Linked DNA regions of Danio rerio. The protein of the gene in region 1 purifies or fractionates together with the protein of each later gene. This does not show direct contact. Links are inferred from orthologs where the notes say so. Each region holds a gene or a part of one and is shown on either strand. Other genes may lie near its edges.

Region 1 (5,306 bases):
ATTTGCATTTGAACTTTGGAAAAAAAAAATATTTGCATTTTTTTAAATCGAATAATTAATAATAATTAAAAGTCTCAGTAGATTATAAGAGGCGGAAATTAGCTTAGCAAATAAAATCTGATAGCAATTTAAATGAATCACTGAAACAACATCCAGGTGGCATCATCAGTGGTGCACACTGGTGGTGGATGAGGAGATTCCCTCAATGTGTAAAATGCTTTAAGTGTCCAGAAAAGTGCTATATACAAGTAAGGAATTATTATAATTTACATTTTTTATTTATTTAGCCAAAAACGGAGCAATCTGCTCAGTTTTTATAATAAGTAATCCATAAGTGAGCCCTTGTTCTCCTTGGGCCTGCCCCCCACTACTCTGATGGACTTTGTTAGACAGGAATTGCCCCCTTAATGAATATTCCCAATGAATGCACTATTAATTCCTGCCCTTGTTTTTAGATCTGGCTGTTTGTTCTCCACTCACCTTGTCTCTCCTGCGCTCCAGCTCCTGTATCTCTGCACTGAGCTCCTTCACTTTGGCCTCATTCTGTTTCATGTTCTCCTGCAGCTTTGCGATGGAGCTCTGCATCTCTTGCAGTTCTTCATTAGACTTCAGCTTGGTTTCCTCGGCACACACAAACAGGTACGCCACGTACAGCCGACTCAGGTGTTCAATCTCTCGCATGAGCTTCTGGTACTCCAGATAGGATGCACGTTCCTGAGAAGAAGCAAATGAGAGCAATACACTTTACTACATTTTTTAAGGTAACTGGTTGCAAAACTTTTATATACGGTCTGATTTTAAACAAACCAATTAAGTTAAACATTACTAAATTTAATTTGTTTAAATTCAGCCCATATAAATGGTTTGCAACCAACTACCTTAAAAAAAATGTGTAAATCCAGTTAATCATTTTTTTGAGTGTAGGACAAGGCATAAGGATGAGTATATATTGAGTCCTATGTACTCTGTCTGCAGTAAGGAACTGATGCTGTTAGAAAACGCTTTTCAAAGCAGCACATAAAGGCACACAGTAATGTATAGCCTTTAGATTACATTATTTATTATTTAGCTACTTTATTATTAATATACCAAAGGTATAAATAAATAATATATGGTTTTAATCTAATCTACACAAATACTTTAAATTATAGATATGTTATTTATTATTAATCTGTTATTCATTCATACGTTTTTTGAGGGGGGTTTGACAGTAAAAAGTAAATGTGCTAACACCATGCTAATACCATTATTTTACAATGAACTACACCTAAAAGAAAAATTAAAAAAAATTAAATGCCTACCTCCTTTAGTTTCTCCATAGCAGGGGTGATCTCCTCATCTAGGATCTGTCCCACACCCACAGAAACATATTAGGATTACATTTTCAAAAGATTAAATTGTTGTTGAACATTAATATTTAAATGTACGTACAGTCTGAATTTCTTTGAGCTTGGCATCTTTCTTCTCAATAGTTTTCTGAGCACTGATCTTCTTACATTCGTACATCCTTGTACCTGCTGCTTCCTCAATCATGGCCAAAATCTAAAAATGGAAAAAATAGGAAATTAACATCTTGGTATCGTTTTTTTTTTTTTTGTTTGTTTAATCAAACTGACTATTCCTTTTTATTTAAATGATCTCTTACCTCAGGAGGCTTCATGTTTAAAACCTTGGTGATTCTCCCCTGGAATAAACAGGTAAAAATAATGAAATTGCTCTGTTTTGAGATATGCAAATCCAAAATAAGGGTACAATATTAAGGATTCAATAGCCATTCAAATGGAATTTGCTATATTATGCAGCATTGCAATATTTAGCAAATTTTGGATGAAAATATTAAGAGGTAATTTACACCAAATCAAACAATGATGTGAACTAGTTTCTGTGAATATGAAAACACAAAGACTTCATATTGAATGTTCTAAACCTCCCTGTCAATAAGTTTTGCACAATTTGAGAAATAGCTAAACCTAATCTATGTGTTGTTTTTTTTTTTTAAATATGTAGGCTTTGTTAAACTCTTAATAAACTGTTGTAAATCACTTGCAAGATTTTAATTCAAAATGCTTTTTAAGTTACATACGATTAATAATTAACTATTAAACCAGTGTAAAGAAATATTAAACACACAAAAACAGAATCTAAAAAAAAAATAAATAAATTAAACACATATATATATTATTCCTGGGACCACAGGCCCAAAAAGATTTATAAAAACATTGAGAACTTAAAATTCACTATATTATTTTCACCTATATAAAACAAACTTATATCAAATAAAATCTGAATTTTGCAGGGGAAAAAAATTGTAAAAAAGTTTTTAAAGCATTATTTCATAAATGTGATAATAATAATTATAACAATAATAATTGTAGAATATTATGAGGCCATATAACTTCTCTTATGATGATTACCTGCATGATGAGAAAGTGAGGGTTGTTGACATTCAAGCCAACTGAACAAAACAAATCCTGGACACGCAGGTTGTTCGCATTTACGCCGTTGATGAGGTACTTGTTGCGACCACCTATGACCACCTGCACAACACAAATAACATCTTCACATTCTCATTCTTAAAGGTGAGCTGCTATCTTATAGTGAAAATGGCACTGATTTTAGGTCATCTACCTGTCGTGTGATGGTAATCTCATCATGCGTCTCAAACCCAAGTGGACTCTGTTTCTTATTGGAGTTGTCAAAAGTGATGGACACTGTTGCCTTGGTGATCCCAGCCAGGCCATTTTTGTAAACCAGATCTTGGAGATTTGTGGCACGAACCTACAAAACAAGCAGCTTTAGCTTTAAAAGTCGTTATATGTATTTCTATTTTATTGAGCACATCTTTTGTTTAAGTTTAAGTTATAAATATATAATATTCACTTATATTTTGTTTGCCTTTTGTTGTCATCATACAATTTATTAACAACATATGTGACCCTGGAGCACAAAATTAGTCTTATATCACAAGAAGGCTATATTTTGGCCGTAGCCAAAAATACATTGTATAGGTGAAAATTATTGATTATTCTTGTATGCCAAAATTACTGGTAATGTTATATTAAGTAAAGACCATGTTTAGTGAAGACATTTGGTAATTTTCCTACGGTAAAAACTCAATTTCTGATTAATAATGCCCTTTGCAAACCTAATATGGAAAACTTCAAAGGCGTTTTTCTTAGCATTTTTTTATTTATTTTAGATTTCAGATTTTCAAATAACTTCCAGTTGTATGCATATCGGCTAAATGTGGCCCTATCGTAAAAAAGTAACGTTATACATCAGTGGAAAGATTGTTTCTTTAGGTTTAAGATACAAAAAAATGCACGTATCTCTAGTTTTGTGGTAACTTACAGGGTCACATATAACAATGAAAATGATTGTATTTCGTTTTTCTGCAAACAAAAATAAACAATGTTAAGCTAAACAACAATCAAAATAACGCAATCACACCTTAAAAACGGATTTATACACATTGCTAAGTTCTGATAATAAATAAGCATGTTTAAACCCTCACCTGGGAAAGGTTCGAAATCCCCAGTAAAAAGCAGATGGAGTCGAGTATATTTGACTTTCCGCTGCCGTTCAGTCCAGTGATGGCGTTAAAAAACGGATCAAATCCGTTAATCTCTGTCCTTTCGGCGTAGGACTTGAAGCCCTCTAGTACAATCGACTTTATGTACATTTTATCGAAATGATATGAGTAAAATCCACTAACAACGCTTGATGAAAACAACCTCCAAAAGCCCCGGCGTTGCTTTCAGTTCAACCATCTAAACTTGAAATTTGGCGCCAGGCGCGTTTCCGCTCCGCCGTTCAAAAAAACAGAACAGATTTCAAATTCCAGTAAAATCACAAGCAATGAATTTCACTAGAAGCCTGGATATATTTAGACAAAATCTAAGTTTATTTGGTAAAGATTTACAGTCATTACAAGCAACGCTTTGCTGTCAGAAGTGAAATAAATGTACAACATTTTTTTCAGGCTACTTTTTAGCCACCACAATGATGAAGGACCCAAAACATTGAAGCGTGTATGACGTCATTAGGGCGGTTTAGCTCAAGCTGGCCGGCTCGAATGACATTTGATCGTTACGTTCAAAAGAGTGTAGTTCAGCGCACATTGAGGCTGTTTTTAATATGATGGCATGTTATTACACGACTGTACGAAATATCAGATTACAGTAAGTCAGTCGCGGCATTCAGTAGTTAATTTTCTGATTGCCAAACGCTACATTTAGTACCTCCCATAGCTGTGATAGTTATATATCCACATGTAACGTTAATAAAACCCTTTAATCCCAATGTAAATAATTTCACAATGTATATGTTTATTTTATTACAAAGGTATAGTACTATATAGCCTACTTTATATTATCTGGGAGTTAAGTTAATTGCGGCCAAGAATAATACATGCATGGAATTGAATCTTTCCAAAGTTAACCTACATTCTGTATCATTTGCAAATGTGCATAAATTCGTGGCATAAATAGTTAAATGTTTGCAGTACTATTGCAATGTCACTGATTCAACAACGCAAAGCACATTGCAATAGAAATGTGAAAACAGCAGTTTTTTCACCAAAGAATCTCACCCACAATTATAATATCTATGTTATTATATCTAAACGTGCTGTATCCACGTTTACCTCACAGTTTTACTTTTTCAAATGTTATACCACATTAGAATAAATCGACTAAAGTACATGCAAAATATGTAACATTGCATTAATAACAAATATACATTCTCAAAATTCAAGTCACGGCATAATTACACATCAAAAACAGTCTTTTACGCTACATTTGCACAAGGCTAAATTGGATTTCACCCACACTGTGGAGTTATGTTACAGTTGCTGTAGGTCTGAGTGCTCGGAGCTTGGCTAAGTGCTCAAAACACAGCATAGTTTTGTACACTCCCTTGGGCTTTTTTTATACACTTTTTGTCAACATAACATTTTTAAAGGCAATTTGAAAGAAATTAGACTCATTCAAATGTCTCTGCTTTCTCTATGCCAGAGGGACCGGACACATGGAAAGACACACCAAGTTAAAGGCATAGAAACAGACCTGCGTGAGGACAACACAGTCACCACGATCTGAATACATTGCGGTGGGCTGAATGTAAGTCCAGTCAAAGTTCTTAAGCTTCAATGCAGTGTGGTGATACTTCCTGCTCAAGGACAGCAGACAGCGGGCCAGGGTGTATTTGGCCGCACAGCTCACTGCTCTGATGGGCCGCACCGAGTTGAAATGCATCAAAAAACAGGGATCATCCTAACACAGCAGAGATATGCAAATTGAACATCT
Region 2 (4,837 bases), on another chromosome or scaffold:
AATGCTTTCTCCAAAGCTTGAAATGCTGTCAGTGATGTTATCAGCACACAAGCAGCCAATAGTGTTCAGCTTTTTTCTGACGACTCCTCCCTCAAATTTTCATTGGCTGTGGTTTGGTAGCTTGAATGAGCTGATGGGGAATGAGATGTTGTCAGATCATGTAGTGTGTGACCCCCCTCTTGTGGATCGTTCACGAAGTGTTGCGTAGTGTGAACATCACAGAGATCAAAAGACACAAAGTCAAGTCATGTGGTGTGAACAGCACAGCGATCTGCTGATGTTTAAAATCCTGTAGTGTGAACTAGGCTTTAACTGTTTTATGCTAGAAGACTTGTAAAATGGGCCTTTTTCAAAAATATATAGTGTTCCTTTGAGGATCATAAAATAACAGCCACTCAATCACAGCTGGTCTCACAAAAAATTTGACGAAACTAATGACGTTTGAGGTTACAAATTAAAAAGCGAAAAAAGTGACTGCACCTGCCGAAGTAGCTCAGCAGGTGAGAGAACTCTAAGGGTTGTACTAAGGTTACCATTTTCACGAGTGTACTGCGGTTATCCTCTCACAAATGCCAATATAATTGGAGCATTCTGTTCTTTTTGAAGTAGATTTGTCATTATGCACACTTGGCTAACAAACATTGATGAGATTCATTCATTTTAGGTAAGAAAATTTGGTACTGAATGCCAAGACATTTTTTGATTCTTCATTTTGTAATTGAAACAAGGCAGTTGAAGTATTAAACTTAACACCCAGCCCTAGCAGTCATCAGTTAAATTTGAACAACATTAATCCAGTTTTAATATATGTATATGCGCACACATGTTTGTGTGTATTTAAGGAAGGCCCTAAAATCTCTTTTCAAAGGCCTCACCTCTTGACCCTCTTCCTTGTCTTTCCGCAGACGATGTGCTAAGATCTCCACAACTTTCTGGAAGATGTTGGTCAGAATGCGGATAGTGAGGGACAGTTGATCTTCCTGTCCCTCAGCCTTTTGGGAAAGGCAGCCATGTGCAATCTCAGTAAGCAGAGCAAGCAAATGAGGGATGCACATGTATCCTTTCTCTAAAGTAAGAATAAACATACATTTAAAAAAAGCATTGTTATATTGTTATAAGATTTTGCATAACATTGTTATAACATTTTGTATAAAGGGGTCAAACCTAATTTATTTTAACAACACATAAATCTGTCAATCTTTCTTTAATCTGATAATACATAATACAATCTCTGGGCTCTGGATCGGCATGATGAAAACTACAGCACCCACCTGTCTGCAGTACTGAGGCAACATGCTGCAGTAAGTGGTCTCTGAAATCACTGTCTCCAACAGAAACCCGCAGCACATTCTTGCACACGGTTACACAGCTCTGACAATGATAGAAGAAGGGAAATAAATCATATACAAGCAAACCAAAACCATCTGCACAATCTATTGTAAGAATGTGAATCAATGGATTACTTTTAGAATTAGTCTTCATGTGCCTGATAACCTTTTTAAAAGTATTTATTTACAGTGCACTGTTTAAAAATCTAAGTATTTAGTTCATTGTACACGGAGTCTTAAATTTGAGCATGTTTAAAAAATAAATCCGACCTCATGTTGAGTCAATTGCATTAACACACTGTCTCCGAAATGTTTGTCAGGTTTTTTTTGCATCCATAGAAAGTCTTTTGAGACGTTATGAGCCAAAATGCAGGGGGAAAACCATACAAAACCTTCAAACTTTAGTGAGCAAAGACCTTTAATCCTGTCTTAGATATATATTTATAAGTTTTTAGCATATTTTGTCAACCTATTGCTTTTTTGTTCGACAAGATTTTGTTGAGTAAACCTCTGGGAATTTAGTTGAAGTCAATGGATCTTTTTTTATTTATACTGCATAATGGTTAAAACTGCTAAAAACAATTATTTTACTCAAACATATAATCACAATTACTGATCAAATTTGTTGACATTTTCAGAAATCTAATCAGAATTACTGAACTTTCATGTAAGCACCAGTCAACTAAATGTCAAGAACACAGATCGCCTTTATTACTTTATTTTTAGAAGCATTTGACATTGGAGATTGTTAAATTTACATGTTAGGCATTGTTATCAGATCATCTGTGCTTTGTGTCTCAGTCCAGAGAGTGCGACTTTATGATTGAAAGATAAAATAAAACAAAACATCTTCTGTGACATCTGGCAACTGTTTTTTCAAAAACATTTTTCATCAGTGTCACACCAATCTCCAGAAGTCATTTTACCAGCTTAATATGTGTTCTTTTGACAGCTATATTACATTACATATGGTGTTCATCCATGACAAACTACAAAAAACAATTAAAAATAAACAAACAAATAAATAAATAAATAAAACAAAACTAGTTTTGACAATAATCAAACCACTCACCTCTACAATCTTTGTGCTTAAGGACAGTTGTTGTTCACTGCTGGAGTTGACCAAGAAAGGAAGGACTCGCTTCTCAACCCAGGACACCGAATGTTCCAGAGATTTGAGGAACTCCCGCTCCTCTGGAAACTGCAGAATTCAAAAGAAAGGCAAAATCAGGGTTCCCACTTTAAAACAAATATTAAATTCTGCTGATTTTAAAGTAAAATTAAGCAAGTGACACAACATTTTGGGAAGCATGTAATTTTTTTAATTGGTGCAGACATCCTTTGGCCAGCAAAGACACCGTTATAATTTATTCCGTACCATCAGCATTGTTTTATAATAATAAACATTATATTTGCGTATAGAAAGTGCTTATATGGTGTGCAATACTTTGAGTTGTCAGATATGGTTTAGAAGTGGCATGTGACTTTATCCCAAAGCCCATTTGAAAAAAACTACATTCATTGTAACAATCACTAAAATTACAATTTTAACATGATTTTTCCAGTGTGGTTGTTGTTTTGAACTATTATTTTTATCATTTAGACCAATGGTCTCAAACTCAATTCCTGTAGGGCCACGGCTCTGCAGAGTTTAGCTCCAACCACCTCCAACTCACACCTGCTTAATAGTCTCTAGCAGTCTGGAACACCTTGATTAGTTGGATCAGTTGTGTTTGATTGACATTGGAGCAAAGCTGTGCAGAGCTGCAGCCCTCCAGGAATCAAGGAACCAAGTTGGACACCCATGATTTAGAATTATGCATCAAATGTGATGTAGGCTTTATATAGTTGGGTAGTAAACAACTTTGGTTCTCTCAGTGTTCACTTTAAAAAAATTACAGAAACAAATGGTTCTTAAGGTCAAAAAAGTAATGAAAAAACTGTATAAAAAACTAAGAAGTGTATATTTGTATATATTCTCATGTACATTTTGATAAGAAACACTGACAATATTGCTGTAAATATTTAAAGAATTAATTATTTGGCAATGATTTTTTGTCATAATCATCTAAAATAAAATGCATGTACACACACACATATATATATATATATATATATATATATATATATATATATATATATATATATATATATATATATATATATATATATAAATGCTGCAGGATAGGAGTTTCACTTGTTCAGTCTAAAAGAAACTTACAGCACGCAGTCAAGCACTGCTTGATCAGTATTTAACAAAATCTGAGTCATGTCCAATAAAACCCAGCCTCAAAAAGATGGGCCTACATTAACTTCTGAAATTAATTTGTCGTGTCACTTCAGTGCTAAGAAATTGATACTTAATGCACACATAGGCAACTTATATTCTTAAAGCACCTTTCACATACTAAGGATATAAATTGTGTGAGTGTGTTCAGTGACAAGGGCTCAAAGAGTGCATGCAACAGTGTTATGGCTGTACACTCACTTTGTGTTGAAGATGTATACAGAGTCTGCCATGGAAGATAAAAGCTCTCAGTGCTGTCTCAATGGCTGCCACGCTGACCTCTGATCCGCTCAAAAAGGAGAACAGCAGCGACTGGACACATTCACAAAAGAGCAAAGACAATAGATCCACATTTCATGTCACACTTTGGATTCAGTTTAGGACCATGTAAAGAAAGTTTAAAAAAACATGGTTATACCAGGTCAACGTTAAGACTTTAAGGCTTTTCATTTTTGTTTAAAAAAAAAAATGAAAACTTTTTAAGACCCTACAAAAACCCTGAAAAAAACATAATTTTTTTCAAAGATAGAGGCTGAAAAACATGTAATATAATATTTGAAGTCTGACCTTGGTAAACAAAACATCCTTGAATATAACAATTCTGTGAGCTTTCAGAGATATAAGTAGATAATAAGGACAAAAACATCACGACATTTAGCCATGATTCAGCTCTGTGCAGCACTATTTTCAAAGCAAGGCCACAGAAAACCTGCAATTACCTTATTGACTTTGTATCTAATGACAGTAATAACACGACACACAATAAAAGAGTAGGCTTTCACCAATTCTCTCTAATAATATTCTCAACCTTCAAGTTTGCTGTACCTTCCATTTGTTGAGGGCTTTATGAAGTGGTCTCATCTGATCCAGGGGCAGTGTGAGCAGACATTCTCGTGTTTTAGGTCTCAAGAGCATGTAATCCAGATAGTCTAGGCCTAGATCTGGCTTTGACTCCTCCAGGACATCAAAATGCACTTTGCCAGTTGATTCTTCATCACCCTGCTAATGAAAGAATGAAGACACTATAATGAAAAGCTAGGTTCTGAAACTTGGTGCCATACCAATGTAACAAGTAAGTATTTGGATCAAATTAAAATGCAGATTTTGATGCATGTGATGTATGATTTTAATAATTAAAAATAACTTTAATAACTAAATTAAACAACTTTAATAATTAAAAATAATTTTTAATCCATCATAATTTGTGAAAAAGCACAGACAC

The links. Proteins that work in one complex are often made in the same cells at the same time.
Region 2: the proteins of smc2 (region 1) and ncapg2 purify together in Homo sapiens (affinity purification with western blotting; 4 studies listed by BioGRID and IntAct, with this or other methods). This does not show direct contact. The link is inferred for Danio rerio from reciprocal best matches to the Homo sapiens genes SMC2 and NCAPG2.

The regions. Positions count from the first base shown.
Region 1 is NC_133176.1:21,039,916-21,045,221, reverse strand, and holds the start of smc2 (structural maintenance of chromosomes protein 2), read right to left. Parts: upstream 3,778-5,306; 5' UTR 3,683-3,777; coding exon 3,515-3,682; intron 2,779-3,514; coding exon 2,629-2,778; intron 2,538-2,628; coding exon 2,415-2,537; intron 1,685-2,414; coding exon 1,646-1,684; intron 1,543-1,645; coding exon 1,432-1,542; intron 1,347-1,431; coding exon 1,302-1,346; intron 715-1,301; coding exon 481-714; intron 1-480. Other genes in the region: exoc1l (exocyst complex component 1-like), read right to left, coding at 5,007-5,273. UniProt on the Homo sapiens protein: Central component of the condensin complex, a complex required for conversion of interphase chromatin into mitotic-like condense chromosomes.
Region 2 is NC_133182.1:40,560,926-40,565,762, reverse strand, and holds part of ncapg2 (condensin-2 complex subunit G2), read right to left. Parts: intron 4,618-4,837; coding exon 4,441-4,617; intron 3,928-4,440; coding exon 3,817-3,927; intron 2,530-3,816; coding exon 2,401-2,529; intron 1,372-2,400; coding exon 1,272-1,371; intron 1,067-1,271; coding exon 876-1,066; intron 1-875. UniProt on the Homo sapiens protein: Regulatory subunit of the condensin-2 complex, a complex which establishes mitotic chromosome architecture and is involved in physical rigidity of the chromatid axis.